Lytechinus pictus: one gene and its partners. The main gene of each other region encodes a partner of the protein of the gene in region 3 in a complex. Links are inferred from orthologs where the notes say so. Each region holds a gene or a part of one and is shown on either strand. Other genes may lie near its edges.

Region 1 (3,757 bases), on a different chromosome or scaffold from region 3:
CATGGGCCAGTATCAAAGTAAAGACCTAAACTAAAGCTAACTGGCTGGAGTGTGAAGGCATTTTGAATCATGATATTGAAAATTACATTAACTACAGAAGGTTAATATTGATTCTTTAACTCACAAATTTACATGAAAATGTAATCAAAAGAGATCATTACTGTAGACTAGTTTATTATTACAACAAACATTTATTTTCCTCATTAGACTTTTTTTTTTCACTCCAACACAAGAATTCTATTCCCTTTTTTAAATGACATTTTAACCAATGATTTCTGTCACAAGTTGATTTATTAATATTCAACAAGGATACTGACAAAGTCATCAAAGCCAAGCAGAGTTCCAACAATCTCCTTGTCTGTCTTCATAACAATGTGAATCCGGGAGCCAATACATTTGTCAACAAGTTCTGAAAGATAAAATCAAAGAGCAAGAATATGATTTAGACCACAGAATCAGTCTCTTTATTGGCAGAGTTGTGTTCAAAATTTCAATCAGGCTGCCTCCAAAAAGAGGAGAAATCTTAATAGTAAATGTTTTAATACTCAACTCAATAGGTCTCTGGATTTGATCATTAAAGAAGAATGACAAGCTAGAACAGTCTAACCCATGATCCTTTCAATTTACTTCGTCAGAACAAAACACAATGTTTTATGACTGACATGTAGTTTTAGTTACAATATATTCAAATGCAACATGCAGAATCTTTTTCTTTTGGCATCAAATAGTTATAGGTTATTTAAACTAGTGCAACACATTTCTAAACTAAAGAAACTTATCAATAAGATTAAAATGTAACAACCAGTTAACGATAAACAAAACTATCAAGAAACATATCAATGAAACTCGAGAAGCAAATTAATAGAACTCTAAATAAGTTACAAGATTGTGACACACATAATGAAAAACTTCCCCATTTATAATTTTCATTTTTTGGGAGGACAATATTTCGGCAATGAAAAGTATAAGCTCAATCAAATCACTTTTCCTACTCGACCCCTAGGTCTGATATCTGACAAATTCAGTAGCGGCTGGGTTACCCACTTGCTATTTTCCAGTCAGTCCACTAAAAATAAACTCACGCACCCCACCCCTCTCAGCTTCAGGCTTGTCTTGACTACATCGGGGAGAGGAATTTTTTCTTTTTAGTCACTTTCTCATTCATCCTCCACTCTCGGCTCTAACAAGTTAGGCAGTATATTATAGACATGGTAGAGCTAGCATGGGCGTAAACTCCAGGGGGGACAGGGGGATGCATCCCCCCTACCAAAAATAGTAGGGGGACACAATATCAAATGTCCCCCCTACTATTTTTGGTCTTTCATGGAGAAAAATACATCATTCCCAATCGAAATAATACATATATTTTGGACTAAATGACCTCATACATTTTGGGTGAAAACCTCTTTTTTGCTTGTAATTTTTTTTTTAATGACCTTATATTTTGGGTGATTATTATTTTTTTGCTTGTCAAAGTTTCCAGCCCCTGTTCCCCCTACCTTTGGGGACAGATTTCTGCCCAAAGTGCCCATGAGAGATAGTAACTTTAGATACCGTCTGGCAGAAGGGATAGCTCGGTCTCAGAGTCAGAACAACTATCTTTGTGGCGGTAGCACTTTAATAGTAGGTTGGGAGTCACGTGTCCGGACACTTTATATTTTTGAAGACTTCTTTTTTGTCTTTGAGTTTGAGTCTGACTTTGGATTTAATACATTAAAATTATGAATTCAATAGTTTTAATCATCCTCTATTTTGTTCTCTATAATATTTCCTAACCAGAAGCGGATCTAGAGGGGGGGTTGGGGGGTTGCAACCCCCCCCCAAAAAAAAAAAAAAATCCGGGGACCATTTTTTAAAATCTTATCTTTTTTTTAAAACTTGTAATGCAAGAAAACGCCATTTTCACACACAGATTTTCAAAATTTTTCCCTACTGTGGGAGGGGGACACCCCCCTCCCACACCCTCGCTCGCTTGGACTCGGTCGCTACGCTCCCTCGCATACCACCCCAACCCCCCCCTTTATAAAAAGCTGGATCCGCCCCTGCTAACATCTTGTACTAAAATTTGATGAAACTTCGCTCGTGAATTTTTCCAAATGACTTTCTAAAATTGATCGTCCGGACGCACAACTTGTCCGGACATACAACAATGGTAGTGGTAGAGCCAAAAGTTCAAAACGGTATGCCGCGCGTGGCCTCCGTACTGCCAAGCCGTGCCGGCAGGCAACCGGGTCAGAGCGGGGAGTCAGCCGATGAGCTGAGCTGAGCAAAGCATGACCACGGGCATCTGAAGTTGCTCTTATTACGTTACTTAGTCTTAGATAACACCACGTTCATAGAAAACAAGGGTCTTACCAAGAGGTAAAAGGTGAGATGGGTTGGAAGTACCGGTAGTCATACTGTCGTGATTTTAATTTTATTTTGATCCACAACCCCGTCAAATCGTTGTCGTTCACCGATATGCGATAGCAACTTCCAGTCAACTCAATTTCCAGATTAATTTGTCTCTTAGAAGTCGTTGATGATGTTTTTCATTTTTTTCCCTTAAAGTTGTGTCGAAATGTCTTATAATTTAAAAAAATATGAAAAACATACCCTTTAATATTTTTTTATCCCTAAATAAAAATAATATTAAATCAATTTATGTTACTATACTTCCAATATTTTTTCTTATTGCTTCTGGCCCGTTTGGAATTCGATTTGCTTGGCCTATAGAGCGCCCTTGAATAAGTCTACGTTAGAAAAAACAAGACCACATTGCGAATTCGACCTTAATCAAAACTCAAGAAACTCCTGAGAAACGTTACCGTACTCCGCGCGGGATTCGATTGAAAGAAATCGTCGAGGAGAGATACATTTTGTCGACCAACTTTATTTTGATCTAACGTTAGGCCTACCGTTAGATGTCCCAGTTTTTAACAATAACTTTTTACAAGGGTCTTTTATTTTTTAGCTTAGCCCGCCTTGGCTTAGTTAGGCTTTATAGCTAAACCAAAGACAAGTTATCATCAGCTCACCAGCCCAGGTCGCAGTGCACTCAGGCTCAAGGTCTGGAGAGCTCTGCATGCCATTCGTCTTCTCCGCGTGTGATTGTCCCTTGTGAGTATGATCATTTTATGAAAATGCCCCAGGGGTCAGCTGATGGAAGGATTCTAATGATTCAATAGTGTATTTTAGCATCGAAGCTGAAGCTTTGCAGACACTTTCTACCAATCAATGGACATTAGTTGATTATTAGACTTTAGACTTAGTTAGACTAGAGGTCATTGTCAAAAGTTGGTGCACAAGTGCTGGATCTGGATTAAACTCTGGATAGCACACGATCAAATTTTGTAAAAATTGTAAATGTGTCGTTTGTCCAGACTTCTGTTTTGATTCACCGATTTTTGACAAAGGCTCCTTTGTTGAAAGGCTTTTGACAAATTATCAGCGATTTAGGACTAACGTTAGGCCAATAGAGAATTTAAAAAGTGTCTGTGAAGTGAATGCTAAAACGGTGCAAGACTTGAATTCTTAAAGAGTTTTAGCTTTGGAAACAGGAACTAACTTTAGTAAAAAGTAGCTTGAAAATGAACTTAGCCCAAGCATAGGAAATCTGTTGATGTCTGCCGTGACTGAAATAGGACTAGTATTGACCGGTGGACCCCCTTTAACTTTTACGTAAGATAAAATAATTGGACTTTTTTTTAACATGAATTTTAGACAAAGTTTGAGTTGATATTATTTGTCTCCGGTTGATTGTTCCCAAGTGTGCTAA
Region 2 (3,757 bases), on a different chromosome or scaffold from region 3:
TGGGACTCTAACTCACCTCGTTTTATCTGCAGTCAAGACCACTCTAGGCGACACCCCAATACTTACCCGTGCTAATAAACTGGGACTCCACTCACGCGCATTTGGGCCGCCCTAGCTTAGAACTAAGCAATATTATCTAGAAATTAATAAACTCTAGTCATGAAATATGTTCTATTAAATAAATTGATAATGTTTAATCGGTACTCACCGGTTCTTTTGTTGCATTTTCAGACCATTTCTCACAAATTCTTTGTAAATATTTGCGGCAAATTTTGTCGCCATAGACAGCTATGCATCCATCTTTATTAATAAATGGAGCGCCCTTTACGATAGTTGTTAATGCCGCGGAGAAATCGTTAGGCATTTTGGCATGTGTTCAAGGCGTTCTTTCTGTTTTATTTTTTATATTGAAGATTGTGCATTTGTTGAATAGCGCCGTCTACGTCAGGTATGAGATCGAGTGTATAAATACACTCTTCCAAAATAATTATGATTCCGACCTGGCGCTGTTTAACTTCAATCTCTTTCACCTAAATTAGCGATGAATGCTAGCATTATAAAATATATATTATTAACGTCTGACAAAAAGAATAACCAACCGATCAGCTGACGAGAACGCGAATCACGTGATCTTCATATCAGCTTCGATCGCGAGTCAGAAGAGAAGAGCAACTGCCCAGAAAATCAGGAAAAAGCCGTGAAAATGTAAGTTCCCCTTCATTTCTTTCATTTTTTTGTTGTTGCTAACGATGCATTTACACTATAAAATTATAATTTAAATAAGAGAAAGGAATATAGCTTGTACTTGTGATATAATATATAAATATCCTGTTCTCAGAGATTTCTAACCAAAAATACTACTGATGTCGCCTATGAGGTCCATACATGTAATGTTTGGACCTCATTGGTACTAGGAGTGGTCAAGACCTCTTCCCGCTATGCTAGCGAGAAGCGCTGATACCGGAAGGGGTATTTTAATGATTATCAGCCGATAGCTCGACTAGTCTAGACTCACAGACCCTTTGGCTTTACTGACTAACTTAGTTAAATAAACTGATGTCTATGGACAATTACACGCACTAGATCCTGCTCGAAATTTGACGGAATAAAGCCATATTTTGGTGTGTATTTCCACTCCCCCATCATATATGTTCTAATCTATATTATGGCTAGATATATTATTCTGAACCTTCTCTATATTTTCATTTTCAATTTTAGTGGGGATGCACAGGGTTTGATGACCCACCGCATCACAGGCAAAACTTTACTTCGCCTCTTTAATTGCGACGCTATCCCGATTCGGGTATGCATTAACTTTGAGTATCTTATTATCCAAGACCAACTACAATATCATGATACGAATACCGGTAGTTGAATCTTATTCTTGGTAAAATCAAGCTTCTTTCATTACTTGCATATGAAAATGAGACCTAGGGCCTAAATAAAACTTAAGTTAGAATTCCAAGTTGTTTTTTTTTTACTTACCAGAGTCTAGATATCAGTAACTACTAACTTTGAGGTCCTTTGCGCTCATTTAGAGTGGTCTAACCAGCAGCTTCGTGATCACCGTACCCGCCTTCACCTTTGGTATACCGTACGCTCTCGACCTCGATACCGCGCGTGAGAGAGTGGCTAGTGCATGCAGTGGTGGTGTGCTAAAACCTTGCCCTTGGAAGTTGGAACACAATTTCATCACGTTTCTCTGGCTTAAGCTTGTCCTAAAAAGTTTGCAATGACGACGGGAGCTTCAAACCCAACCAACCCTATTGTTTTCTTTGACATAACAATAGGAGGGCAGGTAATTTTCTTATCATAATCATGTGCTCTCGGACCGTTAGTTACTCCGTGCCTGTGTGCTGTGGTCCCACGTGCTGATTTTTGTGAAGGCCCTGGGGCCCGTTTCTCAACACATGGACAAGTTAGTCATATACATGTATCGCCTTATCGGCATATCTTTATCCACCAACCACGGAGTTAGTTCCAATCTTACTAAACCTGTTTCTCGAAAGGCTTCCTAACTAGAATACCTTGATATCGATACTATCGGTAAAAAGAGCAGACGAGACGTAGCCTTAGTCACAAAATAGCATAATTTTCAAAAAGAAAAATTATAAATATGATATGACAAAATTGCAAATATTATGATGAATTGGGAAAAAAATCTTTTCAAAATAATAGCACAGGTGAATTATGCATCATACATACTTAGACCATGAAGACTGGAGCATTCAATTGCAGAGAAAATCAAATTATGAATAATTCATTTCATGACTAAAAAATCACTTGTGGACGTTGAGATGGGTACCCCCGGCCCGGCAGACCCAATTTTAATAGTTTACGAAAGTAAACCATAACGTTTTTTTTTGTAAAATGGTGATAATTATACGGACTTTTACGATTCCAAACGTCATCAAAATATAGTTTAACGAAACATTTTTAATCATTGATACCGAAAGATACGATATTGGACAAATTATATGCATAAATTAGAGATAGAAATTAGAATTCATCCAACTGTTAATAGGGGTCTGAAAACAACAAATACGAGTTCAGTTATGGATGGCCTGACGTGGTAGAATCTTTATCGATTAAATCATTTTACTATTTCAAAATGAATAGTTTTGTGGCGTTTTACCAACAGTTTATATAGTTTATTTGTATTACAATTATCATTGAATGCATTATCCCACTTGTTTTGTGATGTGATTTTAACCTCTATGATTGATTACGTAAGATTATAATTTTAAAATTTCTAGGCACTTTTGCATGTCATAGTCTACCCACGTGATGCTACTACGTCATAAAGAAAGAAGTTATGACAGGTTCGGATGTGTCATAAATATTTAGTGAGGTTGTTGTACCCGATCTTGGTAAAGAGGGCTTCGTGAAACGGTTAGCGGACAAGTAGCTCACTATCTCCGATTTAGTCAAGAAGTTAGACTTATGACGGTGTTGAGAAACGGGCCCCTGCATGCTAAACTTAGTGGCTAGTGGCAGTGCTATCATGGAGATCCTCCCAATTTAATTGGCCAATTCAATGGCATCGCCATTGGCAAAAATATGCGACAAAGTCAAAGATGTGTGAATGTGAACAACTTTCCCTTTGATTGAGCTTGATGGACTATAAAATACCCCCAAAATGTCTCTTTTTGCTCTAGTCTTAGTCTTATGCCTGGTGATACAAATTCACAAACTCTTCATCCTTAAATAATAATGACAATGTATTCTTTGAAAATCTATTACATGCCCTCAGTGTAGTCATAAGTCAAGAATACAAAAATTAAGAATAATATATCGTTGTAGATCATCTACTTCAAGGTCAACTTGTCATGACTTGTTTACTTTAGGTTGTCAATTCAGGAATACTCGGGACAGTCAGGTATACATATATGGAAGTGGATCGTAATCGTATTACCGCACACTTATCATGAATTCAAATTCAATCATACTGTATGATATCGAACACATTACTCTCACAAAATTCACCCCAAACTTTCACCATAAATACACAATTACCTACAAAATATAAATATGTAAAAATTTTGCCGAAATCGTTTTACCTTTTTACGATATTAGCTTCCAATCGATCGGACCCCTCTTCGCATGTGAAATATTTTGGTCACTTGAAAAAAGTATTGTATATTACCGAACATGTGTTTTCTATGGGATAAGTTGAGAAAACAACAAAAGTGTCTAGTGATGAGCTACTTTTACCATATTTTATTATTTTTAGAATATTAATACTTTGAAAATGTGT
Region 3 (3,757 bases):
AAAAATTGAAGAGCCCCGACGGGGGGATTTTGCATTGTAAGTCCCCTAATGGTGGCTGCACGATAGCGAGCCGTCAGTGTATGAGGAGAAATTAAAAAAATAAAAAAATGTTAAAAAACTCCTCGAAACAGACGGCTGCCAGCTGTCTACTACTAGTACTACTCGAATCCATGTTGTTAGATCTAATGTTAGTCTACCTGCTACCTAACACATGTTTTAACAAGTTAATGGTTTAAGAATAAATGCATCTAGGATAATTTCTATTTCTAAACTTAAATTATAAGTTACCTCGGCTCAATTCAGTCACAGACACATGCACAGTTATATTAATATATATAGTTACGGACTTGGTTGTAAATGTAATGCCTTTTGAAATCGAAAATGAACTGGATCGAATGATGTATAGTAGATATCGCACTGGTTACGAACTTGGAAAGAGAGTTTGCTGGGATGAGCTTCTCCGCTTTATAGCTTTAGAACTTCACAAAATATGGCGTTGACTGGGCTTTGTCACAATTCGTGTGTGTTATTTGTGGCCGGTGGGAATCGCTCGGGAATTCCCCCAAACTTAGTCTGCTCTACAGCTTTGTGTGAATATTATTATTTAAAACTAGATTAAATTTCATTATAAATTCGAAGAAGATTAGAAAAAATTGAAAAGAAGAAATAAATATAAACATAATGAAATTATCTAAGTCGAATCAAACCCCCTGTATCCCAAATTACTTCACATAGAAGATAAAGAAAATTAATTGCAAGCTGCGTACTGACCCTGCCAGTTAACCATTAACACTAGCTTCACGCGAGAACTTTGACCATATTTTCCGGCGCTGCATTGCTAGCCGCTCATTTCCAGCTCCATAAGAAGGGTGAATATATAAGCATTAGATTTTGCCATAAATAAGGTTTATTTTTCTATATATATGTGGTATGGTAGTAAAAGACCCCATTGTGTTGACGGTACTTGTGTTTCCTCTTTTTTAGAATGATTAAGGTGTCGTTAAGACGTACTTATGTTTGCAATGACAAGATGATGACGAAAGTCAAATCAGACTTTGTCATTTTTTACTTCGGTCCCAGCCATAGCTATTGGTGTAGACCGATAAACAGTAGAGGCGCTGGTCCCGCGATCCCGCAATTAAAAGCTCTGTCTCAAAAGATTGGGATTGTCCCACTCATTCTATGAACAAGGTTATGATATACATGAACCTTGTTCTTATTTTCTCTTTTTTTTGGGGGGGGGGGGAGGGGACAAATGCTTGATTTTTTTGACACTGTCAGTTTCCATTACAGGCAAATTGAAATAGTAAATACAGCTACATTTCATCATATTCTCAAAGTAAATTTGATTCTTAAAATAGAGATTGAAAATGACAATTATCTTGCCATAGTACTTTCCACCGTCTATTTTTCACGACTTGCCGTCTTCCAATAATCTTGTTATGAAACCTGATATGTTTACATTGACTAGCACACTTGATTGGCGTCGGCACTTGACAGAAAAATTTCCTAGATTTCTTGTGATAATGTTTGCCAAAACTCATTTTTGTTACTCGCAAGCTCACCGGGGCACATCCGGTGAGTAGTTATAGTACAAATTATAAATATATTAAAATTTTACGCTTTTAAATTCAATGAAAAATAGCAAAATTGCTTACCTCGGCCTGAAAAGTGGTTTTGCATGTTTATTGAACCACGGAAGTAAAAGGAAGCCCGATGGCGCTAATAAATTTCATAACCTTTATTCAACTCATCGGTAGTTTTAAAACTGTGTCTAAGTTCAATTCCTATGATTGTTTGATAAAATATGGACACCAATAAATGCATTACCTTCCAAACATATTTTTAGATTATTATTACTGACGATAACACTTTTTTAAATCATTCAAAGCAATGACAAATTAACAAAAAATAAAATTCTATGTGCCTTGAACAAAACCAGCAGTGCGAGCCGTTGTTCGTTTGTCAACAAACAGTCCACCAAAGTCTACAATGAAAAGACTGGACACTTTGCCATCTTCGCGTAACGCTTTGCATCAATTTGCGTGTAAAGTAATGTCTTTACCCTGTAGTGTCTTTGATATGAATATAAATTGCACGCCCTCCTTAGTTGAAAATTGCTGTTCAAGGAGGGGCACAGCACAGACATCAACAGCAAGGAAAAATATTCTTTATTCAAAGTCAAGTTAGAAAAAAGTCACCAAAGAGAATATATATCATTCGGTAAGTGAAATAGAACAATTTGACTTTATTTTAGATTTTGTCAAAATACCAAATTTCGCGCAATCCCATGGATGGAAGTGTTCCATCTGGACTCCAGGAATCTCCAAAGAAGTGGAGGGATCAGCTAAGAGAGAGAGTTGCATGCATCGTGCCTTGATTTTCCTGTGCATCGTGGCATGTAATGAACGTATGGGTGTTTGCCTTGATTTGCAGATAGTGTTTGGAAAATTGTGTACTGAGGAAAGGTAGTCAAAAAGTCAGTCCAAGTTGAAGATGTAAGTCTGAAATGAATGAAAGTCTGAAGTTTATATAATTCGGCTCTATAGGTTTGCCTTATACTCTCGCATAGATATAATTTCTATAATTGTTATATAGCTTTATTTTGTTCTCACTCCAGTCAATTTTTCTACTTTGTCACCAGCTCTGAGAGTTGCTGTTTTATTTGGTGATCCTCAAACTTGGATGAACAGCTGTGTCAGGTAGTGACCGACTAGCTCTGTGCATCATGAGTACTGCTACTACTACAGCCAGGAAACAAACTCCTAGTGATTTCTTAAAGCAAATCATCGGCAAACCAGTTGTTGTCAAACTAAATTCAGGTGTAGATTACAGAGGTAAGAAAAGGGCATACTTCTCTCAGGACTTTCATTTTCTTCTTTTTTTCTTCTAGGTCTATACAGTATATTTAAAAAATCTGGTGTTTATTCCTTTTTTCTTTATGCTCCCTTTTCCCCTTTCTTCCTCAATTGCATCTATGGCTTTTGTATGTGTATTCATTCTCCTGCTAATCTTGTTTATTTTTCCCATCTTTTTTCATACTTTCCCCATTTTTTTCCTTATTTTTTATCACCTTCCTGCTTCTATTTCTTCATAAAAATAAAAAATCATCATATATATTTTTGAAATTGTAAAAAATTGGTGTTCATCCTGTGTCTTTGTATCCAGACACACTATTACATGCAAGCTTCTATAAAAGACATATTAATTCATTGTGAACTGTAAATAACGCAATATGTAAAATTTCGAATAAACAACAAATATCATGGATCAGCTCACAGATGATGTCACAGAATAATCAGAACAGAAAATTTGTTATAAAGTTTATAGTCTTCATATTATCCTTCTGTATCTAATGTAAAAAATTGTAATCTCATGAAATTTATATTATTCAATTTTTTTTCAATTTATTTTATTTCATTTTATTATCATTTTACTAGTACTAGTAGTATTTTTTTTCTTATTGTCATTTTTATTATTATTATTATCATTATTATTATTATTATTATTATTATTACTATTATTATCATCATCATCATCATCTTCGTCATCATCACCATCGTCATCATCATCACCATTATCATCATCACCATCATCATCTTTGTCATCATCACCATCATCATTAAGTACTATCATTACTACCATCTTTTTTTACAGGAGTTCTTGCCTGCTTGGATGGATACATGAACATCGCCTTGGAGCAGACAGAAGAGTATGTCAACGGTCAGCTCAAGAACAAATATGGTGACGCTTTCAT

Evidence for each region. The genes of interacting proteins can lie anywhere in the genome.
Region 1: U6 snRNA-associated Sm-like protein LSm6 (region 3) and U6 snRNA-associated Sm-like protein LSm5 share a complex: the UniProt entries of both Homo sapiens proteins name them as parts of the precatalytic spliceosome. The link is inferred for Lytechinus pictus from reciprocal best matches to the Homo sapiens genes LSM6 and LSM5.
Region 2: U6 snRNA-associated Sm-like protein LSm6 (region 3) and peptidyl-prolyl cis-trans isomerase H-like share a complex: the UniProt entries of both Homo sapiens proteins name them as parts of the U4/U6-U5 tri-snRNP complex. The link is inferred for Lytechinus pictus from reciprocal best matches to the Homo sapiens genes LSM6 and PPIH.

The regions. Positions count from the first base shown.
Region 1 is NC_087245.1:27,099,320-27,103,076, reverse strand, and holds the start of U6 snRNA-associated Sm-like protein LSm5, read right to left. Parts: upstream 2,518-3,757; 5' UTR 2,399-2,517; coding exon 2,356-2,398; intron 410-2,355; coding exon 314-409; intron 1-313. UniProt on the Homo sapiens protein: Plays a role in pre-mRNA splicing as component of the U4/U6-U5 tri-snRNP complex that is involved in spliceosome assembly, and as component of the precatalytic spliceosome (spliceosome B complex).
Region 2 is NC_087258.1:26,237,999-26,241,755, forward strand, and holds the start of peptidyl-prolyl cis-trans isomerase H-like, read left to right. Parts: upstream 1-1,334; 5' UTR 1,335-1,732; coding exon 1,733-1,798; intron 1,799-3,757. UniProt on the Homo sapiens protein: PPIase that catalyzes the cis-trans isomerization of proline imidic peptide bonds in oligopeptides and may therefore assist protein folding. Participates in pre-mRNA splicing.
Region 3 is NC_087249.1:11,246,080-11,249,836, reverse strand, and holds the start of U6 snRNA-associated Sm-like protein LSm6, read left to right. Parts: upstream 1-790; 5' UTR 791-869; intron 870-2,644; 5' UTR 2,645-2,728; coding exon 2,729-2,837; intron 2,838-3,657; coding exon 3,658-3,757. UniProt on the Homo sapiens protein: Plays a role in pre-mRNA splicing as component of the U4/U6-U5 tri-snRNP complex that is involved in spliceosome assembly, and as component of the precatalytic spliceosome (spliceosome B complex).